Linked DNA regions of Coturnix japonica. The protein of the gene in region 2 interacts with the protein of the main gene of each other region in a biochemical or structural test. Links are inferred from orthologs where the notes say so. Each region holds a gene or a part of one and is shown on either strand. Other genes may lie near its edges. The genes, in order: NPR3, natriuretic peptides A and NPR2.

Region 1 (3,648 bases), on a different chromosome or scaffold from region 2:
ACTTGACTTGGTTTAGGGTCAAAATTATGTGTATCAAGACTCCGTTTGTACGGCTGCAAGGAAACACTGGACAGCAGCTAAAATCCTGTAGCATGATTTTGCCCTGAGTGGCAGCACTGCTTCCTTCCTTGGCAGTACCGAGTCCTTTTTACTGCCTTTGGAAAAGAAATAAATGGGAAGATACAGAAAGGGACACAAACCTTGCTGGAGTCTTAAAGCTGAAAAACCTCTGTCCCAGTTGGGTACCTGCATTTCGGAGATGCAGCACATGAAAAGTATGACAGAGATTGTAACATGGAGGGGTTTGCTAAGGCAGACTACTAAGAAGAGTGGGTTCACATTAAAAAATGACAGCACTGTTGGAATGTGAATAAATTTCTGTCTTGGGCATCATACATATTTATTTTTAAAAATACTGACACTGGGAACAAGAAGTTATACTTGCATAACAGAGTTCCTAAAATAATTTCCATATTTAAATTCCTTCATGGATTGTTTTGTGGGATGTAGTGTTGCCACAGTACTTATCTGCAATTATTGCAGTCTTGGCATTAAATGCGTCTGCTCTTATGAAAAATTAAAAATATTCAGAACAGAGGGCAACAACAAACTGCAACACAGTCATCTGAGCTGAAAGAGAAAATGCCAACCGTCTGTCACATCCACTCTTAAATCATGTGTCTCTTAAAATTCCAGCACCTCCTGCCATTGGGAACAAGGAATTCACAGAAAATGTCTCTACACTTCCCTACCACATTTGCTTCCAGTGTGCAATGACCACCTCAAGTCAGTTTCCAACAGTTATTTTGCTCCTCATTGGAAAAATTCACAAAGAAACAGAAAAAATGATTAAAAGAATTATTCCATAGAAGCACCAGGGAATTTCTGATAACATAGACAGGAGGCAGATATTTGTAATTTATCCCTTGGAAAAGCAATAAGTAGACTGAACTAACTGTAATGCAAAGGAGGAGGATGCTGAGACCTCCAAGACAAATGGGCACATCCCTGTTAGGGGCTTTTGCAACATTCCTTCCTAGTCAACACCATCCTGAAATGCAAAACACATTACAAAATGCAGCAGCATACCTCCTGCAGCTGCTGCTCTTACACAAGAAGCTCCTGCTCCAAGAGGGCCTCTACACCCCAGCCAGTCACTCTGCTTGCTTCATCCAAGGTAACAAAATCACCAGTGTTAAGGAGCAATTCATCCAGGCCATTTCAGACACTTCAGGATGAGGTGAATCACCACCCAGGGGTGCCTAACTTTTTCCTGTGACTCTAAAGGGAGCCTAGCTCACATGGAGACTTGTACTTGGGGCCAGATGAATCAATTCTAATTAAATTTTACTCTCTGAGATGAAATATAGCAGCAGCATAGCAGTAAGAAGCACTAGCAGCAGCCAGAAGGGTTATATGATCAATGGTGTCTAGGCAGAAGTGAAATCAAGTCTGCAAAGCTCCCACAGTCTACAGAAAGCCAGTTTTGTGACTATTGACATAAGTAAACCTTCACCTTTTTAGACTGGTCCTGATTGAAGCTGCAATGACAAATGCTTCACTTACGACACAAGGGGTGAAGTCACTCTCAATTTCAGTCAGAACCAGACCAAACAGACCACCATGACTTGAATCATTGGCTTTGATCTTGGTCTGCCAATTTATCTTTTAGTTACTGAAGTAATTTCCTTATTGGCTGGTAGAACTTGGCACTTCCTTAGCCAACTTAGAGGACACATGTAGTGTTATCTTTGCTTCTTTAAATATCTACAACTCCGAATTTAAGCAGTAACACATGTTCATTATAAAGCTTTTCAACAAGCAGCACTGTTCGTTTCTTTAAATAATCTCAGGGGTGATAGATGGATAATGAAGTCTATGTAAGAGAATTTAACTTGCAATTAACTGATTCATTAAACAAAATACCTCATCTTTTTGTGAATGTCTTTTTTTCCTCTTTATCAGCTTTTCAAGGATTGAAAGAAAACAAGTTTTCCTTCTTTTACAACTCCCACCTGGTTTTCAATTCGAAATGAATCTGTTATTGCACTGAATTAGCTAGGGCAGGCTGCAGGAGGAAAAATATTTTCTCTGCACCTGCGAAAGAAGCTGCTTGGTTCAAAAGCCACTTTGACACTTCAACAAAATCAGGTTCCCGGACAGAAAATTCGCTCAGCTTCAGCCATATGACATTTTATAGAACTGCCAGTAAACACATTGTGCCAGTACTGCCTTCCATTTAACTAAGGCAGCTGAGATTAGGTTTAGTCTCTACCATGCACTGCCATAACAACAGATGTAACTGAAGAGGGGTGTATTTAAAAAAGCAAATATATTTAATTTTTCAGCTGATTTAACTTGACACATCTTGTCACGTTTATTTGAAATGAAGTAATTTGCTCTTATCTATCCAAACCTAGCACATTTAGACAGCCTGTGCTCTTGTTTACCAGTGCCTTCTATTCAACACAGCAGGGCTGGATGGTTTTGCACACACAGTTTCTGATCAAAAGTAAACAGGATGTATGGAAATCCTAGCATATAAGTGACTTCCGGAGACCCTGGACCTGCAGTTGCACATTCTCACTGCCAGCCCTCATGCCTCCTCTCAATAATGCCTGTAGTGCATTTCCTAGAATCACAGAAAGGCTTGGGTTTTGAAAGTACCTTAATGACCTTTTAGTTCTGAATCCCTCTTGAGGGCAAGGACACCTTTCACTACACTAGGCTACCCAAAGCCTCATCCAACCCAGCCATGTTCACTTCTTCAGAGATGAGGCATTTACAGCTTCTCTGGGCAGCCATACCAGGGCCTTCTGGCCCTCTAGGTAAATAATTTCTTCCTCATGTTTTACCTAAATCTACTTTCTTTTAATTTAAAACCATTCTTCAATATCCTGTAATCCATTCAGTTGCAATTTCTGCAATGTTATAGCCTAAAAAGAAGGTAACTGCAAAAACATGGAGAAATGGTGGTGCATTCAGTGCAGCATGTTTTAACACTAACAAACCTAAAAGTATTACCAGGCTTACAAAAGACTTTGTAATATACTCGGGCAGGAAAAACATTACCATATGATGAGCTGTTGAAGAGCTCAATATTGAAGAAAGCATAGTCCCCATTGGTCATTCCTTGCCGATGAGCAGCCAACATGATGTTCCTGATTGTGTCACCGCTGGCACACATGATTACAACTGGTGGAAGAAAACAGAAAACACAGATAAGAAAGAGTTCAAGAACTTTATGGAACAGATTCTTTAGCATGAATGCTGCCAGAGACAGTGACCTGAGCTGTCCTCTCAGTGTTGCAACAAATATGACAACATAAAGAACTAACAAAGCTAATTACCTAAACTGCTGACAGAAGATGGGCATCAAACATAGAGTGAAATTTTACTCACATCTCCTCTGAAAATAATTAAGTAGATCAACACGTTATCTAATTTTCTTACTCCGGCAGCTCAGGAAAAATTCTGCCTTCAAATTTCTTCTATTATATACATTTGTAGAGTTAATTGCAACCATAAATCTTAGTTATTACTTCAAAGTGTACATAAGACAATCTGAAGATTAAGTAATAAGATACAATGGCACTACCATTTCAATTCTTTTGAAATCTTTGGTGTAGATTTTTACCTACACTCATG
Region 2 (4,364 bases):
ATTACTTAAAATTGGACACTCGGTATTAATGAATACCATTTATAATGTTGATAGTCATCCATTCTCAGCTTACAGAATGAAGATGAGTAAGAAAATACCTGCAATTAATGATCGAATTCTAAAGACACTGCGGCAAGGAGTGTCAATAACAAAGCTGCCAGGCTGGTAACTCTTTCTTTACCACAGTTTGAACAGGACTAAATATCAACAGCCTGGAACACAGAGTAATACAGAAATGAGTGCTGCTTCATAATAGCCCATATGGGCTATACCAGGAAAAAAAAGCAGTATTTGGGCTCGACTTTGCAACCTTGAGAGTGCCCTTTCCTGTGTCATTTTGGTAGGCAGATCATGTGAACAGTGTGTCTGCCTGTTTGTACACAAACACTGCTAAGACACAAGAAGATATTTCATTGTTCTATTCTTATTTAGAAGCTGTACCCTGGAGATTATTTCAAGAGCTACATTCCTACTAAAACTCAACCAATTATTACAAGGCTGACATAGGCAACCTTGTCACAGATCTGCTCTTGTTTCAATTTTGAGTATAAGGAATGTCAGGAAAATGCAGCACAAACAAAGTGCTTCGGGGTTTGAAATATGTAATGAGTAGCTTTTATTAGTTGCCCTAAAGATGATGCTGGAAGAAGCAGATCTGCATCACTGTAAGTTCTCATTTAAATTGAGGCAGTTTTCAGCTTAAGCTTGAAAACCTTCAGCTCTCAAAGAAACCAGCACACAGAAATTATTCAAGAATCTGACCACCTCCTCTTTCAATATTATTAATGCAGGGTCAAACCTTAACACGAATGTTTAAGGAAATCCCACTGTTTAAATGTCTAGCTGTTAACAGTATAATAAGAGAGCTTTGCCGCGCTGCCGAAGTCATTTCCATGGGGCTGGAGGCACTCAATGTCCCCACAGCAGCCGTGAGGAGGTGTAGATTGGGTGCTTCTGTTGTTGGCAACATACAAACATAAAGTCTTAGCTGTGATCTCACCTCTGCAGCGATGGGGAAAGAGAAATGGCCCAAACCTGAGATTTTCATCACACTCCGTGGTATGCAGTGGCTACACGTATTCCTTATATAGAAGGAGAATGCACAAGGTTCTTTCGGCATCCTAAAAGTAGATTAATCTTCAGTCTTTGCTCTCCACCAAATACTCATCGGAAAAGCTTCTTGCTTTCCTTATAAATACTAATTTCCCTATGGAAATCTTCTAACTGAGAAGAGTTTAGAGCGGTTGTTTCCCACCTCTGTAAAATCTGACCATAGGGGTCTCTTGAAGGAAAATTGCTAAGAATTTCCAACTGGACTATGTAATCACAGCGCCTGGTATCAAGAGGAGGGGGAGTGACATGAAATCACTGACTTGTGACATACATTCCTCAGCAACAGCAGCTGCTGCCTAATGACAGCTAATAAAGGGAATCTTCCCTTGACAGAGCCGCATGCCTGCAGTGGGACTGGAATGCGCCCCAGATAAACCCCCTGATAACCCAGGAAGCAGAGATCACACCAAACCATATAAAAGACGAGCTTCGAAAGAGAGAGAACAGGAGAAAGAAGAGAGAGACCTGAAGAGCCAACTCGAAGAAACAGCTTGAACTTCCCATATTCCCAACGAACCCAGCGCCATGGACACTAGAGGCTCATTTTCCTGTGGTTTCCTCTTGCTGCTTCTCATCCAGCTGCAGCCCAGCAGAGCCAACCCCATCTACAACCTCAGCCCTGCCAAAGAACTGGCCAGCATGGAGGTGAGCGGAATCTTTGTTTTTACAGGGTTACACTTTCAGAGGGGGGCTTAGAAGTGCATGCAATGGTGTCTTTGCCTTTCTTTTGTATGGTCAGATAGCTACGTTAGAAATTGTATGTAGTGTTTAAAGTCTTGATTCTTCACAGGGCTTCAGGGAAGCTTTGTAGGGCAATACCCTCCAGTGCTGGGATCACCCAAGTTGCTGGGTGGCAATGGGAAACAGAATGTGAGATGTCTGCTCTGGGTTTTCCCCCTTCTCTTAATCAGTCGCCTCATTTTGGGTTTCTTAATGAATTAGAGCAATACCCCGGAGTAAAAACATAGCAATGCATCATGGCATCCCTACAAAAATAAATAGAAAACTTTCAAGTGGGTTTATCCCATTGAGTGGGATAGCGAGGACAGCCCTACTGCTTTGGATTTGGGGATATGAGAGAATAGAGCTGCCTGCGGATGAAGAGGTAAAGCAGAGCTCTCAAAGTCTTGCACAACTACTTGTGCAAACCGAGAGGAACAGTGTGATCATGTAACTGTGACACAACTCACCCTGAAGCAAGACATAAGGTTCACTTCTCCCTAGCCTACTTCCAGAGATGGACAATCAGGTCCTTCTAAATGGATGAGATGTCCTTGAGCAGGTTCCCTGTTATTCAGAGCTTTAGAAATTATAGAGAATAATACTCAGAAGGTTAGATAGCAGACAACTTTTTCATATAGGTATTGTTATGGAGATGCATATTGCTTAAAAGAGCAGAAATCCTGTAACCTCTAGGGCAGAGATTAGCAGAAAACACCAGGAGCTTCTCACAGTGATGCCTACTGCAATAATTAGAGGTTACAGGCAAGCAGATGACTTTAGTCAGAATAAGAAGAGAGAGATAACAGGAGATCAGCAGCAATGCAGGCAACTTCTGGGAACATGGGAGTCACTATGGGTTCAGAAGTACTCTGAAATCGTTTACTGTTGCTGGGTTGAGTGGTATCTCTTGTTTTGTTCCTGTGCCAAAAGCTCTTCTATCCATTCCAGTGAGACACACTTCTGTGGCAGACAGCTTCAGTCAGCTCCCAGCTACAGCTAGAGATAGGTGGAATTAATATAAACAGAGATTTAACACAGAGGACAGAGCTCAGGAAGCACCAGCATCTCTGGAATCCAACCTTAGAGACTCCTTAAAGGTGGCTATAGAACCATAGACAAATTCAGAGTCTGATGAGTGGAAGAGCTAATAAATGATCATGAAACCAGGAGTCTTATGAAATTAATCCTTCTCTCATAGGCTCTTCTGGAGAGACTGGAGGATAAGTTCGCACTGATTGAAGCCCTGGAGTCCAATCCTGACCTGCAAGAGCCCCAAACCCAAGAGGAGATCCCACCAGAACCCATAGATGACAGCGATGAGCAGAAGGCTGAACCCAAACTAGCACCCAGCGCTCCTCTGTCCTACAGGAACCCCTTCCTCAAGAGACTGAGGGGGCTGCAGATGCCCAGGATGATGAGAGATTCTGGCTGCTTTGGCAGAAGAATCGATAGGATTGGCTCCCTGAGTGGAATGGGTTGCAATGGTGAGTCTGACTTAAGCCATTCTAGTGAATAGGATGGGCTGTATTTAGGTTTTTGCAGCAAGGGAGGAGCAAGATTTCATTTAAGTCTTTAATAATAAGAAGCAGTTAAATGCTTTGAGTAAACTCTTTAAGAAAGGAGCTTGTTTTAGTCTAACCTTTAAGCTAATATTGGCTTTCCAAAATAAACTTCACATCTATTGATTAGACGGATGAAAGCACTGCTGACAATGGTGGCAGATACTGAAAGACTCCAGTAACACTTAACACTGCATGTTTGGTTTGCAGGTTCCAGGAAGAATTAGGAACACCTCCTGACCCGTGCTCTGAAGAACGCTTCACAGAACCTGTTCCTCCCATGATGAAAGCCGGACTAAGCTTTCTAAACTCATCAACAGAAAGTTATTCCTATTTTTATTTATTTATTTATTTATTTATTTGATCTCTATCTCTACTCTTTTTCTTAATAACATTTCTAGCACCGTTGAGACCATCTTGAAATAAAACTAACACGTTAGATATCTATGCTGGACCTCTCTCCTGTCTGTTTGCATTAAAATTTCTTGTATTTTCCTAAAGTCAAAAGCCTACGTTTTATTGGTACTCTGGTACCCACAAGGCTGGATCTCACTTACACGAGACCAAGAAAGTATGAAGCTGGATAAAGAATGAGTTTTTCCCTAGAGGTTTCCTCTCCACACTAAGAAATTACAACAGATTAGAAGGAGGAAAAAGACAAAAGCTTGCACAACATTGGAAGACCCACAACATAGATGTAGTTTCAGTGATAAGAAAGTCCTTTTGCCGGTACACATTACTCAGCCAATGCAGCTGCCACTCCACTGCCACAAATCCCTCACGTAAGCAAAGTTTACAAGAAAAGAAGTAAAAATTATTGCAAAACTCCACGAGTTACAAGCTAGCTAGAGGGAGGAAAGGGAATTCATTGTATATGCTTTCTAGCACTGACCAAATAAAGGCTATAAGCATCAACAGAAAGATACATCATTGACTGCGTCTTGTCTCACTCTGCATGTGGTTGAGCTG
Region 3 (3,471 bases), on a different chromosome or scaffold from region 2:
CCTTGACGATGTCATTGATGAGCGAGTAGCGAAACATCCAGTCCAAGTTGATGCTCTCATTCTCCAGGATGTCCTGGAGAGGCACACTCATCTCTATCTTCATTCTCCACCGCCATCTCCCCTTCCCCTCCCCACCTCCTCCACCCTCCTGTGTCCCTTCACTACCTGCAGGCTGCCCCTGGGGCAGTACTCAGTGACGATGCAGATGTTGGGAGGATCGATGCAAGCCCCAATGAAGCGTGTCAGGTGGTTGAACTGGATGTCCCGCATCTGGGGGTGCAAGCAGAGCTTGGTGGGGAGAGGCAGCACCCCGCTGACCCACCACCACAAGGAGCAGATACTGCACTCCAGCAGAGCACAGACCCCATCCCAGACCCCACACCTACATGTTTGAGCTCAAAGAGCACCTGCCGTGTCAACTCAATGCGCTTCTTGTTGACGTGCTTGATAGCCACCACATTGCCCTGGGGACAATGGAGGGGTGAGTGCTCACCAGGTAGCTCTGGGGAGACATGCTGGCAGCCCATAGGGGTGCAGACTGACCTTGAAGTGTCCGGTGTTGGCAAAGATCTGGTACTTGCCATGTGTGGTCATCAGCGAGCCATAGCTGGAGCCACGCTGCAGAGAGGGAGTGTTAGGGACAGGGACAACACACCCACAGAGCAGGGCAGGGGCAGGACAAGGTCTGGTCTGCAGGGTCAGCATGAGGGAGTGCAAAGTCTATAGGCTATGTGCTACAGTGCATGGGGGGCTGTGGAGATGTAGCACTACAAGGGATGAAGGGCCTCACAGGGGATGGATAGAGCATGGTGCTCCATAGGGACTCCGGGCTGTGGGGGGATGGAAGGGCATGAATGAAACGTGTCTCTGAAAGAGATGGAGAGCTTTGCAAGGGATGGATGAACACAGGGAGTACAGTATGACTCCGTAGGAGACATGGGGCTATGCAGGAGGACAGGACAGGAGTAGAGGGATGAAGTCTCACCAGGGACAGTGTAAGCCGGCTGCCTGCTCCCTTATGGTACCGCTCTGCGCTCCCAAAGTGCAGCTCATCCCATCTGATCCTCCACAGCATGCTGGCCAGCTCCTTCTCCAGCATCAGCTTCCTAGGGGACACAATGGGTCAGCCTGCCCATCCCTACTGCCCTCCACCCTGCTGCCCCCATATCCATACCCACCTGAAAATGAGGAAACTGGAGATGCCGAACATGACGAAGGTGAGCCCGGTGCCCAAAGCAACGATGGCCAATGTGGAGAGGGGGGCTGCCATGGGTTAGGGAGGCTGTTAGCACTGTGTGGGGCTGCACACCCCAAGGGAAGGATAGAGTGGGACACCCCATGCACCCACTTTTATCACAGGAGGGGTCATCCACATCAAAGACGCAGGGTGGGTTGTCCAAGGGGGGAGCCCCCTTCACCCAGCGGATGGGCCGCCCCAGCCAGCGGATCTGCTTCTCTGCACCCGAGTAGTGTCCCACCACCTGTGGGGAGACAGCTGAGCCCAGACCCCCACACACACTGCCCCCATCCCCCAGCAGGACCCCAGTGCTGCCCCCACCTCGTACTGCCCGCTCTCGGGGTCACCCATGGCCCACAGGTTGAAGTCAGTGTCACGGTCGTTGTTGCTGTCCATGCTCACCAGCCCCGTCACCCCTATGGCACAAGTGAGGTCCAGGTGGAATATGGAGCACAGGACCAATCCCTGCAGCCCACCTGCCCTCCTCCCTTTCCCCCTAACCCCCCCAGCCCCTCTCCCTGCTGCTACCCTGGAACTTGCGGTCCCGCATCTTCTCGATGAGCTGCGTGGCGTTCTTCTTGGAGCCGCCCTCCCGCAGGGTCTCGTTCAGCACCATGGCGTACAGCAGCACCCCGTCATAGAAGCACCCCGCCACCAGGTTCATCTGCAGGAGGGAGCTGAGCACTGCATGCATTCCCTGACAGCCCACCACTCTGTGCCAGAGCCATGCACACCTCTACAGCCCCAACCCCACAGCGGGGCTATGCTCAACCCTGCAGCTCCGTTACCCTGCAGCAGGTACATGCACACCTCAGCAGCTCTATAACCCTGAATTGGTGGCATGCATGCCCTTGCAGCCCTGTAACCCCACAGTGGGGCCATGCACATCCCCCATAAGCCCACAGTGCTGCCACAACCACCCTACAACCCCATAACCCTGTACCACATCCACTCACAAGCCCTGCAGGGACATCATCACATTGCACTGCTCCAATCAGGTACATATGTCATCACCCTCCACCACATCCAACCCTCTGCAACCCCAAAGGGACAGTCCTCACATCATGCAGAGCTCACCAGGGAGTAGTTGAGCTGCACCCCAAACTTCTGCTTGGCACGCAGGATGAGCTGGGTCTGGAAGTGCTGGTACTCAGGGTTCTGGGGCTCATAGTAGGTGATCACCAGCACAGTCTGCGAACACAGCAACGCACGTCACACTGAAATCCCAACCCAAACCCCCATGTAGGAGGGTGCAGCTCACCTGGAAAGCCTCACGCAGCCCCGCGTCCTGCCCTGAACCCTGCTGCCAGGGCTTGAAGGCGTCATGGGCAGAGTCCCCCCGCAGGCTCTCCCCGAAGACATCGACGTAGAAGAAGACGTAGTCGCCGTTGGTCAGGTTCTCGCGCTGTGCCAGCTGCATGATGCGGCGCAGCATCTCCGGCGGCCCACACAGGTACACCACTGCCAGGATGGGGGGTGTCAGTGCACAGCTCCCACCTCACAGAGTCATGGGGTCACCCCATAGCCCTGCTGGCCTGGACGTGCCCATGGCACATCATCCGGTATGGGGGGAAAGGGGAACCCCAGCACATGGGGTGGATGGATGCCCTGTGCACCACGCGCTGTAGAGTGCCATCACCTTGGCTCAAAGGCTTTGGGGAAGGGGAATATCAGGCTGGGAAAGGCGTCAGGGCCATGCCCCAGAGCCCGCTGGGGAATCTAGGCTGAGGAAAGGGACAAAAACATGTTTGGGTTTGCGGTCGGTCGTGCGGCAGGAATGCGCAGGTTCCCGGATTCCAGCACCTTCGGCCGGCCACAGCATTAATTGGAAACAGAGCATCTGCTGCTGCGACCCAAGAGCCAAGGGGGTGCCCGGGCCCCGTCCCACCACCCCCACCGCCCCACAGCTCAATGACTGCGCCTCTATCAACCCCACAGGGACACAGAGATGGGCGATGCGTGGCGCTGATAGCAGGTACCCTGCTATGGAGCCAGGCACCCCGTGGGCTGCTGTGCAGAGAGCGTCCGGAACCCCCCCGAGCAGGGGCCCTCCTGCCACCGCCTCCTCCCTCCCTCCCCCCGGAAAACCAGGGCCCCCGCTCCAGCCAGCCTGGCTGGGAACCCACGATTGAGCAACGGGGGAGGAGGCGGCGGGCGCCGGAGGAATGTCACGCTCAGCTGCTGGCCCCGTGCACGGCCCTAACCCCGGCACTGCTGGGACTGGGTGCACGGCG

The links.
Region 1: the proteins of natriuretic peptides A (region 2) and NPR3 form a complex in vitro, tested with the Homo sapiens proteins (4 studies listed by BioGRID, with this or other methods). The link is inferred for Coturnix japonica from reciprocal best matches to the Homo sapiens genes NPPA and NPR3.
Region 3: the proteins of natriuretic peptides A (region 2) and NPR2 form a complex in vitro, tested with the Homo sapiens proteins (3 studies listed by BioGRID). The link is inferred for Coturnix japonica from reciprocal best matches to the Homo sapiens genes NPPA and NPR2.

Annotation. Positions count from the first base shown.
Region 1 is NC_029547.1:9,260,957-9,264,604, forward strand, and holds part of NPR3 (atrial natriuretic peptide receptor 3), read right to left. Parts: intron 3,196-3,648; coding exon 3,073-3,195; intron 1-3,072. UniProt on the Homo sapiens protein: Receptor for the natriuretic peptide hormones, binding with similar affinities atrial natriuretic peptide NPPA/ANP, brain natriuretic peptide NPPB/BNP, and C-type natriuretic peptide NPPC/CNP.
Region 2 is NC_029536.1:4,846,544-4,850,907, forward strand, and holds natriuretic peptides A, read left to right. Parts: upstream 1-1,424; 5' UTR 1,425-1,638; coding exon 1,639-1,758; intron 1,759-3,034; coding exon 3,035-3,320; intron 3,321-3,605; coding exon 3,606-3,622; 3' UTR 3,623-4,312; downstream 4,313-4,364.
Region 3 is NC_029547.1:8,340,922-8,344,392, forward strand, and holds part of NPR2 (atrial natriuretic peptide receptor 2), read right to left. Parts: intron 2,699-3,471; coding exon 2,499-2,698; intron 2,429-2,498; coding exon 2,315-2,428; intron 1,902-2,314; coding exon 1,766-1,901; intron 1,654-1,765; coding exon 1,559-1,653; intron 1,482-1,558; coding exon 1,349-1,481; intron 1,264-1,348; coding exon 1,179-1,263; intron 1,107-1,178; coding exon 986-1,106; intron 619-985; coding exon 544-618; intron 465-543; coding exon 387-464; intron 271-386; coding exon 166-270; intron 74-165; coding exon 2-73; intron 1-1. UniProt on the Homo sapiens protein: Receptor for the C-type natriuretic peptide NPPC/CNP hormone. Has guanylate cyclase activity upon binding of its ligand. May play a role in the regulation of skeletal growth.